Linked DNA regions of Tribolium castaneum. The protein of the gene in region 3 binds, or shares a complex with, the protein of the main gene of each other region. Links are inferred from orthologs where the notes say so. Each region holds a gene or a part of one and is shown on either strand. Other genes may lie near its edges.

Region 1 (3,757 bases), on a different chromosome or scaffold from region 3:
ACAGAAGACATCATCAAGATTGTTTGCCTGATGATGTCTTATGTATTAAAACGAAACGTTGCATAACTCTCTCTTTTGGAAAAATAGTGTAAAGAGTTTCGTCAAAATTTTGTTTTAGTCAAAAGTTATAATAAAATTACGGTTTACATTAAATTTGAACCCCCTAAGTATATTTTTACATCGATATTCATACAATTTTAACTATGTACTTGTGCAGTAATGAAGTCGATATTAGTACTTACTTGGTATTCAGATATGCTTAAAAATTATAAAGAAATAAGTCTCTGTTTATGCCGATATTTATAAACTAGAGAAGTTATTAGCAAAAATAAGCATACTTAGCTATTCGTAATCTTATATTTCTGCAGAAAACTCAATTTACTAATCGACGCTGTGTCTGCCGTACCAAGAACTTGAGAAAAATTTTTAAAGCTAGACCGATCGTAACATCATAATAACATGAGATCGAAAATATATTCAATTAGAGCAAGCTGTGCCTGCCGAACTTTAGCCGTTTATTCTCACTTTAGCCACACTTTTGAAGTTATGACATATGATGTGGCTAAAGTTACACTTCACTTTCAAGGCCTGCTCTAATTGAGTATATTTTCGATCTCATGTTATATATGTAGCGGTTTTTAGCAGAAAGTGTGCACTAGTTTATGCCATCATTTCCTGATGGAGATAGGCGATTTATTTAATTTTAAATTATTTTACCAAGAACGCAATTTTTGTGTTAAGTTAATAAGCTGAGAACTGTCGGCTGTAAGTAACAGAATTTATCGGATGATTTTTCGGCGATTTCAGTCATTTCAAAAATTTCACTTACAAACGCTTTAGAAACATTCCAAAAACATTGATATCTTGAAAACTGCTACTATAGTCTCACTTTAACTACGTAGAATTTCATGTATAGAAAAACATTTTTTACAATAAAAAATAAACGATATTTGAAAACTTTTTTGGAACTATGATGTCCAAAGCAAAATGCCAACCAAATTTGCATTTAAATCTACCTGTCTCTAAGGTATTTTGTAGATATGGTGTTTTACATTGAACTGTTGTTAGAGTATAGTATATGAAGAAAACAATTTTGTTTATTAATTTAGACAAATAATTGTTAATGATGAGTATTCAAATAAATCTAAACGTAAAAATAAGGCAAAATATGTAAAAAACATATTAAAAAAATTGTTGACTGCTTGTTTTTCCTTGGGACAGCCGTGTTGGAGATGTTGAAATTGTTTGCAGATATAAATTTTTTCTAGAAAAAAAATAACAACTCGAAACGTAACAGTCTCAGATGAAAACTCTGGATGTTCGAATTCGTGTACTTAGAATTTTGTCAGTTCCAGAGTATTCCAAGTGATTCAACGGCTCACAAAAAGTTGATTTAATATTTTTAAAATTCACACAAAATAGGATCAATAACACAAAAACTATCGGCGTTAGTTAATAATGCTTCACATGTTCGAATTTTTCAGTCAATTATTTGTCGATTTCGGGACAGTTTGAGTGACTCCGTGCCGATTTATAATGCTGCTTTTTTTTCCAACTTGACACTTCAAAAATCTAGAGAAATAGAGAACCCTGCATTTCTGACTGATTTGCAATTTGAACGTAAAAATAATAATAATAGTGGAATTTTTACAAGTCTGGCAGTAACCAAACGAGCAAATTAGTAGCTACTTAAGTGATCTAAGTACTTGGTCATAAGAATAAACAGCTTTTTATGAATATGGATGGGTGAAGTAAATGCCAATACTAATGAAGTAATTTTTATGAACAAACATCACCCAATTCTTGCTGGCTAGAAATCAGAATTGTCCTTAAAAGGCAGCCGTTTGCGGCCAGATGTTCGCACTAAACTTAACGACCCAAGTCGCAATAAAAGGAATCGTAGCTGCAAGTCGAGCAATACCATGTGTCTCCATAAATTTTTTGAATCAAACTTGCAACCCACCTTCTTTACGGCAATTGGGCGAGTTGTCCAGGGCCGTACTGTTGGGCTCCTTGAAGCACGCCAGGCAATTGCCCATTGGAAGGGCCCAAACGAAACCTCGCGAGGATTTTCAAAAAACACTCTTGCATTGCCTATGCTGACTTTACCATCAAATCCTACAAAAACCAACCGTCAACATGGAAAAACACCACTGGCGGGCGACTACTAACGTAAGAAATTTCTATTCTACCACTATTTACGCGACCAATTCACAAATTTCGACGAGTTTTTCGACGGAATTTTCATTATGACACTTGGCGAATTCTGGGAGGGAGAATTGTCATTTTTGGCGGTGGTTGCACGCACGCACTAGGCACAGGCATACAAGCGGGCTGATGGGGCGCAAGGGGGCTAAAAGTCCGCTCTTCCAGGGGGCAAACTACAATACATCTGTTGATTTGACAGATGCAGCTGATTTGCGGCTACTTTCACGCCATCTCGGTTGTCAAGTAATCAAACCGGGGCCCCGGGGCGCCCTCTTCACAAACGCGACTTTTTTAAACATGAAATTGTTGACTAAAGAAAAATTGTCAACGTGTAGTGCCCCCATAACATAAATTTAAAAATTTTGAAGCCCCCCAATGTCGTGACCTGCATTACCGACAGTCGTGACGTTAGGCTTAATCAAACACAAGATTCAAAAATTGAATTGTCTTTAATAAAATAAATTAAAATACACTCTAAACAGTCATGGAAAAATCAATTGCAACTTAAATAACAGTCTTTGGTTGGGAAAACATCTTTCTTGCGGTCCTCTCCTAACCCGCACGTTTTCAGAACGTAGCCCATCTCCATGCCTTCAGAGTCCCACATAGACAGTCTCAGGGGTTCCTCTGATTCACTACAATAAAATTATTTCTTGCCTCTTAGACAACCGCTCAACTTACACAACTAGAGCCTTAAAAACTTTTAAATTCATGCACGAGTCGAAAAATGTTTGGGAGGCATTTTTTGGGGCATCTTTCTTCTCCTGACAGCCCTCCAACATACATTCAACCGCCTGAAACAAAACTATCAAAACAAAAACAAGACAGCAATGACTAACTTGGAATGGCACATAAAGAAGATCTTCTTTCATTTGTCTAAGATCTTTCAGTTTTTTCTCTCTTTTGTAACCAAAATCCACAAAGAAAACCTCAATCTTGTCGTTTTCGGCTAAGCCAACGCAAATCCCCCGAAACCATTCCGAGTTTTCTTTGATCAAAACAACCTCCCCGAGGCCGGGATACAATTTAAATGGCTCGTAAGTGTGGACTATATTATTCGAGTTCATGCTCTCTCTCAGCCTCTGGAAGTTTGCATCTGGAATGACAAAATTAACCACTCTATAAAATATTGCGCCCGTTTTAGTAAACTTACTAAAATTCGAAGTCTTGGACGGTGCTGTGACAATTTGTGCGTAAAAACGGCAGGTGCTTATGTACCCCGTTACCAAAACGTCGACACACTGGCCTTTGGGGGGCAAAGGCGTCACAGTGAACGCTTGATTCATCGTCAAAACTTTATCCGTCGTGACGCCATCTTTCGCCAAAACGCCGTGTTCTAGCTTACACCTTGCCCCTTTAAAACAGCCCCCTGCCGCATTAGTGAAGGGGCAAAGTCTTGCTTCATCTTTGGCATCGTATCCAGTTATGGCCTCGTTGATGTTTTCATACTCTTCGAAATCTTCATCCTCTAATGCTTCAAGTCCGTCTGAAATGTCCACTTGGAGGGCAAGTTCGGAGTCGACCAAAATCTGACCCAACGTTTTCTTCC
Region 2 (3,757 bases), on a different chromosome or scaffold from region 3:
AAAAGTGTGAAATCATCTAAAATACGAGCAAATAACTACATTAATTATAAAAAACATCATTCATGTCAAATTAGAGGTTGGGTAATTTTGAAGATAGAAATCTACTTTGAACGTGCTTTACCGTAACACCATTGCTATCTACAAATTTATTGGTCTCGAGTCAGTTTTTTATACAAATCGATAAATTTAATAAAATAAAAAATATATTGACAATTGAACAAAAAAAAATTTTCAAAAATTAAAAGAATAAAAAAAGAGTAAAAAGATTTTTTCAGAAAAAAACGTGGTTTAATTTAAAAACACCGTTTTCGACCAAAAGGTGGATATTTGAAACGTTGACATTGCAAACGTCAAACAAGCCAGTGTGACCACAGGCCTGCCAACTCAAACAGTGACTCTTGACCACTCTGTATAACATAACGACAGTTTTCCATTTGTGATTAAATATTTACATTAAATAATCAATTTAATTACCTACCACACATGTAACACCTGATAACGTCCCAAAACCGGGCTAATAGTAGTAATTAAAAAAAATCTTACCCTTTTTGAGGGTTTGCTGCAAGAGCGGTTATCCACAAAATTAATTATTTTATCTCCGGTTGCTGGCAACAGAGAATTCCCAACATTGCTTTCCGTTTCTCCAGTCATAATAAATGAATTACATAAAAAACCCAACAATTTTGTACTGATTTTAAATAAAAAATTCAATAAAACAATAAATCACAACGTAACTTTTTTGACATTTGTTTGACAGCGATCAACGCGTTGTTACGTCACGAAGTGGCTAACGCTACGATCTTTAACTTATTTCCGACTATTTTATGGCATTGAGGAGAATAATAATTATAATTAGCACCAATTGCAGTGCATAATTAGTACGTAATTAAAATTCCTGCCTTTGTGCCTGGCTTTTTGCGTGAAATAACTAAACGAGTTGGCGCGTTAGTCACTTCCTTTCTGACAGTTCCAATTTTAAAAACGGTTAAAAATGAGCGAAACGCAAGAACAGAAGCGCTGGGGGCACCTGCGCAAGGTGCTGGAGCGTCCGGGCCCCTTTTGCCACCCGGAGTTCGAGCCGTCACCCGAAATCATGGATTTTATCGTAACCTCCTGCAAGGTGCTTGTCGTGGGGGCCGGGGGCCTGGGCTGCGAACTGTTGAAGGACTTGGCTTTGATGGGGTTCAAGCAGATCCACGTCATCGACATGGACACGATCGACTTGTCGAATTTGAACCGCCAGTTTCTGTTCAGACAGAAGGACATTGGGCAGTCCAAGGCCAAAGTGGCGGCGGCTTTCATCAACAAGCGCGTGCCTGGGTGCCAGGTGACGCCCCATTTTTGCAAAATACAAGACTACGATGAGAGTTTTTATCGGAGTTTTCACATTATGGTGTGCGGGTTGGACTCGATCGTGGCCAGGAGGTGGATTAATGGCATGATTTTGTCGCTCTTGAGCTACGAGGATGGGGTGCTGGATAATTCGACCATTATTCCATTGGTGGATGGAGGTTTGTGCCGAAACGTGGGGGCTGAGACAAAAAACGCGCCTTTTTTCGCAGATGGCGCTGTTTCAAAATATCAGCGCCTTCTTGTTTCAGACGCTAAAGTTATTTCTCTCACAAAAAATTGTGTTATTTTAGTTTTTTTTCCATTTTGATATTTTTATTGACATTTATCTTTATCTAACAAACTATTCGGAAATAAAATTACCGTTGGGGGCGCCACTGAGCTAGGTCGAAAACAGTAACCATAAATGGCGGGAAAATGTTTATTCGGATATTTTGAGCGTTGTACGAATTTTGGGGCTTCACAATTATTCCATTGCCTATGCGGAATGATTATTGCATCTTTGATGCAAGAAACTTATGTTGACAAATGAGAGATGACGAGGAAAACACGAATAACGAATGACTGTTTGGTTCACTTTCTTTATTGGAAAATTATTACAAAGACATTGAAAAACCTACCTTTTGGCATAATTTACGTTTAAATGTATCAGCAGTTGTTAATCTTTATTGTAGTTTTGTACATTTACTGCAGCATTTCATGATTTTTTCAGTGGAAAATTCTAATCTAAAATTCATAACACTTCACTAATTTATTGGTTTCTTGAGCCAAACTTTGTGTTCGCTGTGATTTATTACTTATAATCTTTAATTAGACAACTGTTTGATAACACTTTGTAATCAAAATTTAAATATTTTTCACTTTTTATCCACTTTCAAGTTCCAACAATAAACACTTTATACCATGAAAAACTACAGAACCAAAGTCAACGCTAGTATTTACCACCACGTACTTTTAAAGTAATTCTTTCTATTGTAAGTAATTAACACTATACACGCAAAATTGTTGAACAATTCATTAAATGTCAGTTAAATGTGGCATTACGAAAATTTCTTTACTGTCTTCGACATAGTTCAAAAGTCATCACCAGAGGGCGTCTAGTTAATTTTATTTCCGAATAATTCTTCTTGTTTACAGCGCCATCTGAACTGTGCTGTGGCGCCAAAATTTAAAAAAATATATATAATTGAGTAATAATTTATTTCCAGGTACTGAGGGTTTTAAGGGCAACGCCCGCGTCATAGTCCCTGGCAACAACGCCTGTGTTGAGTGCACCCTTGACTTGTACCCCCCTCAGATCACCTACCCTTTGTGCACAATCGCCAACACACCCCGCCTGCCTGAACACTGCATTGAATACGTAAAGGTGGTTTTGTGGCCCAAGGAGAACCCCTTTAATGCGCCCCTGGACGGAGACGACTCCCAGCACATTGGCTGGGTTTACGAAAAGTCCCTGGAAAGGGCGTCCCAGTTCAATATCCCTGGAGTGACTTACCGCCTTGTTCAAGGCGTCGTAAAGCACATTATTCCAGCAGTGGCGTCAACTAACGCCGTTATTGCCGGAGTTTGCGCCACAGAAGTGTTTAAAATCGCAACGAGTTGTTGTCTACCGTTGAATAATTACATGGTTTTCAATGACGTGGACGGGATTTACACTTACACTTACGCAGCGGAACGGAGGGACAATTGTGTGGTTTGCTCCCAAGTGCCGCAAACTCTACCGATTGAGGATCCGAGTAAAGTCAAGCTGAAGGATTTGATTAAAATCCTGTGTGAGGATGAGATGTTTCAAATGAAAAATCCAGGTTTAACCACGGTTATTGATGGGAAAAATAAGACTTTGTACATTTCCACGATTAAGAGTATAGAGGAGAGGACCAGGGATAATTTAAATAAGACTTTAGTTGAGTTGGGGCTTAAGGATGGCATGGATATCATGGTCGCAGATGCTACGTCTCCCATGACGTTGGTTTTCACACTTAAGTTTGCAACGAGCGATGTTGAGATGAAGTAATTGTGTTATTTATTTTTAATAAAGAAAATTACAAACTGGGTTTTGTTTCATTTTAACGGTTATTTTGGCCCTTGAAATGTTTATTGTTTGATTTTTTTAAGTTCTAACCACTCTATCAATTTTGATATTGAAAAAAACACTTTATATCTTTATATCTTTTTTTTGGTATTATTGCTTAAAATTTGGTCGGAATTTTGACTTAGGCCTTATTATAGCTTCGCCGTAATCGGCCGTAGGGCGTTTTTCTCAGAAAATATGACTCGGCGAAGATAAAAACCATCAGAATGAATAAATAAATATTAAAATTTAGTTTTTGCCGGGAGTTTCTCCACACAAGTTGGCCACCCCAAAAAAAAATTCCCCTGATCGGTGGCCACTTTTATAATTTTCCGC
Region 3 (2,552 bases):
AGCGTCTGCATAAAGCCGACCATAGGCGAGCTGGTGCGCCCCGTCCGGATGGACACCCCCACATTCCAGGAAAAGCAGTCGAAGTTGGGCGGCATGAACGAACATATCGGCAAAGTGAAGTGCGTCTCTAACATCGTCGAAAGAGTCACCGAATGCAGCAACTTGGGCGTGTGCGACCCAGCGAGCGACAGCCTGAGGTAACGCCCGCTTTTGTGTGGCGAGTGATTAGTCTCGTTTACAGGTTCGCGGGCCAAACGCTGAAATCGTCGAACTTCGTTCTGGTCACAATAACCAAGCAGGAGGTGGTCACTGTCAATTGCGAGAACATGGTCTTTGGGTCCGTTATGCTCAACGAACTGCTACATAATCTCAAGTCATAAGTTGCTTCAGCGTATTTGATGTATTGTACTTGTTTGTAACGGGAAATACTTGAACATAATGTGCACTTGCTAAACGCCGAGCTTCCTTTTGCGTGAATATTATGTTGGATGTATTTGCCACCTAGTTATCACTTTTCTTTTTTATCCTTTCAAATAAATATTTATGAGAAGTGTGTGTTTGGATTGAAACAGCGGTAATTCATATAAATATATTGTGGTAAACTTTACCCAAAGTGAAGAGTTGCTCACTTGTGGACAAACTTTACGATAACTTTTTACAAAAAAAGGAAATGGAGTATTCACACTCGTGAAAGCGGACAAACAGTAATATCGACGACTCTACAACGATTAATCTTTAGCATACAGCATAACGTACTCATTCACTTTCATTCTAAATTCCTCCTTAGAGTTTCTATACATATCCGAAGCTTCTATATTTAAAGGATCGTCAAAATTTAACAAATCCTGAAACAAAACGTCAACCGTGTCCAAACGATCCGATAAATACCGTAAATAAGGCGTGTAGGCCCCAGACGACGTCGTTTAATCTCCTAATGGGCGACCAGCCCAGCCCGTCCATGCTGTGCTGCCTCAGGAGCGATAGGCACACTTCGCCGACTTCGGTTATGTTAGGGTGCCACAAACGCGTGAGGCATCTGACAGTGGGAGGCTGCAAACGAGACTCAACCGCCGATCGCAACTCGGTGGCAATACTTACAACCATGTTATACTCTTCGGTAACGTTAATAGCAAATCTAAAAGTACCACCCTCCCAAAGGCCCTCCGTGGGTCTCACGGTTAAAATGAACTTGCTCAAATCGTTCTCATTCTCGTAGAAAACTGAACAATTACTGGGCAAAAGTTGGGCCATTTCTTGTGATTCTTTAATTAGTAGTTTGTCCCTGATTGAAATTCGGTTCGTGTTAGAAGAACGGTCTTCTTGCTGTTTTTTCAAGCGTTGGGATAGCGTAATCATGATTCTACAAATTATTATTGAAACACAATGAAAATCATCGCATTGTTTATGTTTAATTTTGATATAAATTTTTGGTTAGGTAACTGACAGCGCCGCTGTCAACGAGAGTGACCCGGACCGAAAGATCTTCGAACCGAATTTTTTTTCAAATTGTTTAAACGAAATAAGGCGAAAATACTATCAACTGTTACTTTAACATAATTTTGGTTAATAGAAAAAACTCAAATTTGGGGTGGTCTAATTGTGTTTTATAACACGTATATGTACCATGGTTATTTAAAAAGTTTCCACCCAAATACTACAAGACTTGACCTTGTAAATCAAATTTTTATTTCCAATGTTTTGGATTTTTTTACTAAGGAAGGAGAGACCCACATGAATGATTTATTAAATGAGTAAAAATAGTTTATTGCGTAAATAAAAGATACATTTGTGTTTACTTTTTGGGGCGTACTTGAGCGGCTTCGTTACCAAACATCTTCCACAGGCTTCTTCTACGGCAGGGTGGTCTTATGATATTATCTCTTAAACAAATTTGGTAGACCTCCGGGTCTGTTTTGGCAAGGTTGAGGACCTCAGCAGAGCTTAACTCCCTGAATAGAAAATTTATGTTAAAAAATATAAGTACTTATTTGAATTTTTTACGTACTCCCAAATCACCGAAAGACGCCCACGATTGTCTTCCCTACCTCGAACCTTCTTGGCATCTTTTTTAGACTGTTTTGATGAGACACAACCCATTTTCTTCGCGAGTATACGACTTATAAGCATGTAACTGCCGCAACGCTGATACCCCTTTTATTCATTCTGATAGTATGTAGACTGATAAAATATTTTCATGAAGATTCCTAACAGGTAAATCGGTTATAATCAGCAATACGTAACAGGTGCGCCACCCAAGTGAAATATTTGGATAAATGGCCCTAATTAAGTTATCAAATTATTAACGTAAAAATACAAAAATGCGAATAATGACGCTTAAAATTTTATCATAATATTGTAACATGACTTATTTTTAAAAGCTTGCCATACGAAAATCACAAAATTTTTTTGAAGAATCTAAAATTACAGGCAAATGTCACATTACAATAAAGGTTTTTTTATTGTTTTGTATATACATTTAAATTGTAGATAATTTGCAAAGAAATGTTCACAAAATTTGATTTGTGACACGTAATACTGATAGCCCAATTGAC

Evidence for each region. The genes of interacting proteins can lie anywhere in the genome.
Region 1: the proteins of NEDD8-conjugating enzyme UBE2F (region 3) and SCCRO3 are in contact, whole or in part, in a crystal structure (PDB 4GBA), measured with the Homo sapiens proteins. The link is inferred for Tribolium castaneum from reciprocal best matches to the Homo sapiens genes UBE2F and DCUN1D3. Residues at the interface, in NP_001265234.1 of Homo sapiens: Leu2, Thr3, Leu4, Lys7, Leu8; in NP_775746.1 of Homo sapiens: Glu108, Glu109, Glu112, Pro122, Thr123, Glu124, Met139, Cys140, Glu194, Ile204, Ala207, Leu208.
Region 2: the proteins of NEDD8-conjugating enzyme UBE2F (region 3) and Uba3 are in contact, whole or in part, in a crystal structure (PDB 3FN1), measured with the Homo sapiens proteins. The link is inferred for Tribolium castaneum from reciprocal best matches to the Homo sapiens genes UBE2F and UBA3. Residues at the interface, in NP_001265234.1 of Homo sapiens: Thr27, Arg28, Arg29, Val30, Asp34, Lys35, Val38, Lys39, Val41, Ala42, Glu45, Val54, His55, Phe56, Pro57, Asp58, Pro59, Asn60, Leu62; in NP_003959.3 of Homo sapiens: Ala401, Thr403, Thr405, Leu406, Glu407, Gly408, Asn410, Arg411, Thr412, Ser417, Val418, Thr419, Ser420, Ile421, Arg424, Thr425, Gln442, Glu443, Ala445, Ala447, Asp448, Val449, Thr451, Pro452, Gln453, Thr454, Leu456.

What each region holds. Positions count from the first base shown.
Region 1 is NC_087399.1:5,918,331-5,922,087, forward strand, and holds the start of SCCRO3 (DCN1-like protein 3), read right to left. Parts: upstream 2,492-3,757; 5' UTR 2,173-2,491; intron 2,119-2,172; 5' UTR 2,040-2,118; coding exon 1,964-2,039; intron 1-1,963. Other genes in the region: tudor domain-containing protein 1, read right to left, coding at 2,702-2,843, 2,890-3,002, 3,048-3,304, 3,362-3,757. UniProt on the Homo sapiens protein: Contributes to the neddylation of all cullins by transferring NEDD8 from N-terminally acetylated NEDD8-conjugating E2s enzyme to different cullin C-terminal domain-RBX complexes and may play a role in the cell cycle progression by regulating the SCF ubiquitin E3 ligase complex, after UV damage.
Region 2 is NC_087400.1:1,389,509-1,393,265, forward strand, and holds Uba3 (nedd8-activating enzyme E1 catalytic subunit), read left to right. Parts: upstream 1-872; 5' UTR 873-991; coding exon 992-1,511; intron 1,512-2,558; coding exon 2,559-3,364; 3' UTR 3,365-3,402; downstream 3,403-3,757. Other genes in the region: coronin-2B, read right to left, coding at 544-651. UniProt on the Homo sapiens protein: Catalytic subunit of the dimeric UBA3-NAE1 E1 enzyme. E1 activates NEDD8 by first adenylating its C-terminal glycine residue with ATP, thereafter linking this residue to the side chain of the catalytic cysteine, yielding a NEDD8-UBA3 thioester and free AMP.
Region 3 is NC_087403.1:3,757,168-3,759,719, reverse strand, and holds NEDD8-conjugating enzyme UBE2F, read right to left. Parts: upstream 1,468-2,552; 5' UTR 1,357-1,467; coding exon 1,099-1,356; intron 1,051-1,098; coding exon 889-1,050; intron 846-888; coding exon 729-845; 3' UTR 576-728; downstream 1-575. Other genes in the region: rb (AP-3 complex subunit beta-2), read left to right, coding at 1-197, 242-380. UniProt on the Homo sapiens protein: Accepts the ubiquitin-like protein NEDD8 from the UBA3-NAE1 E1 complex and catalyzes its covalent attachment to other proteins. Together with the E3 ubiquitin ligase RNF7/RBX2, specifically neddylates cullin-5 (CUL5).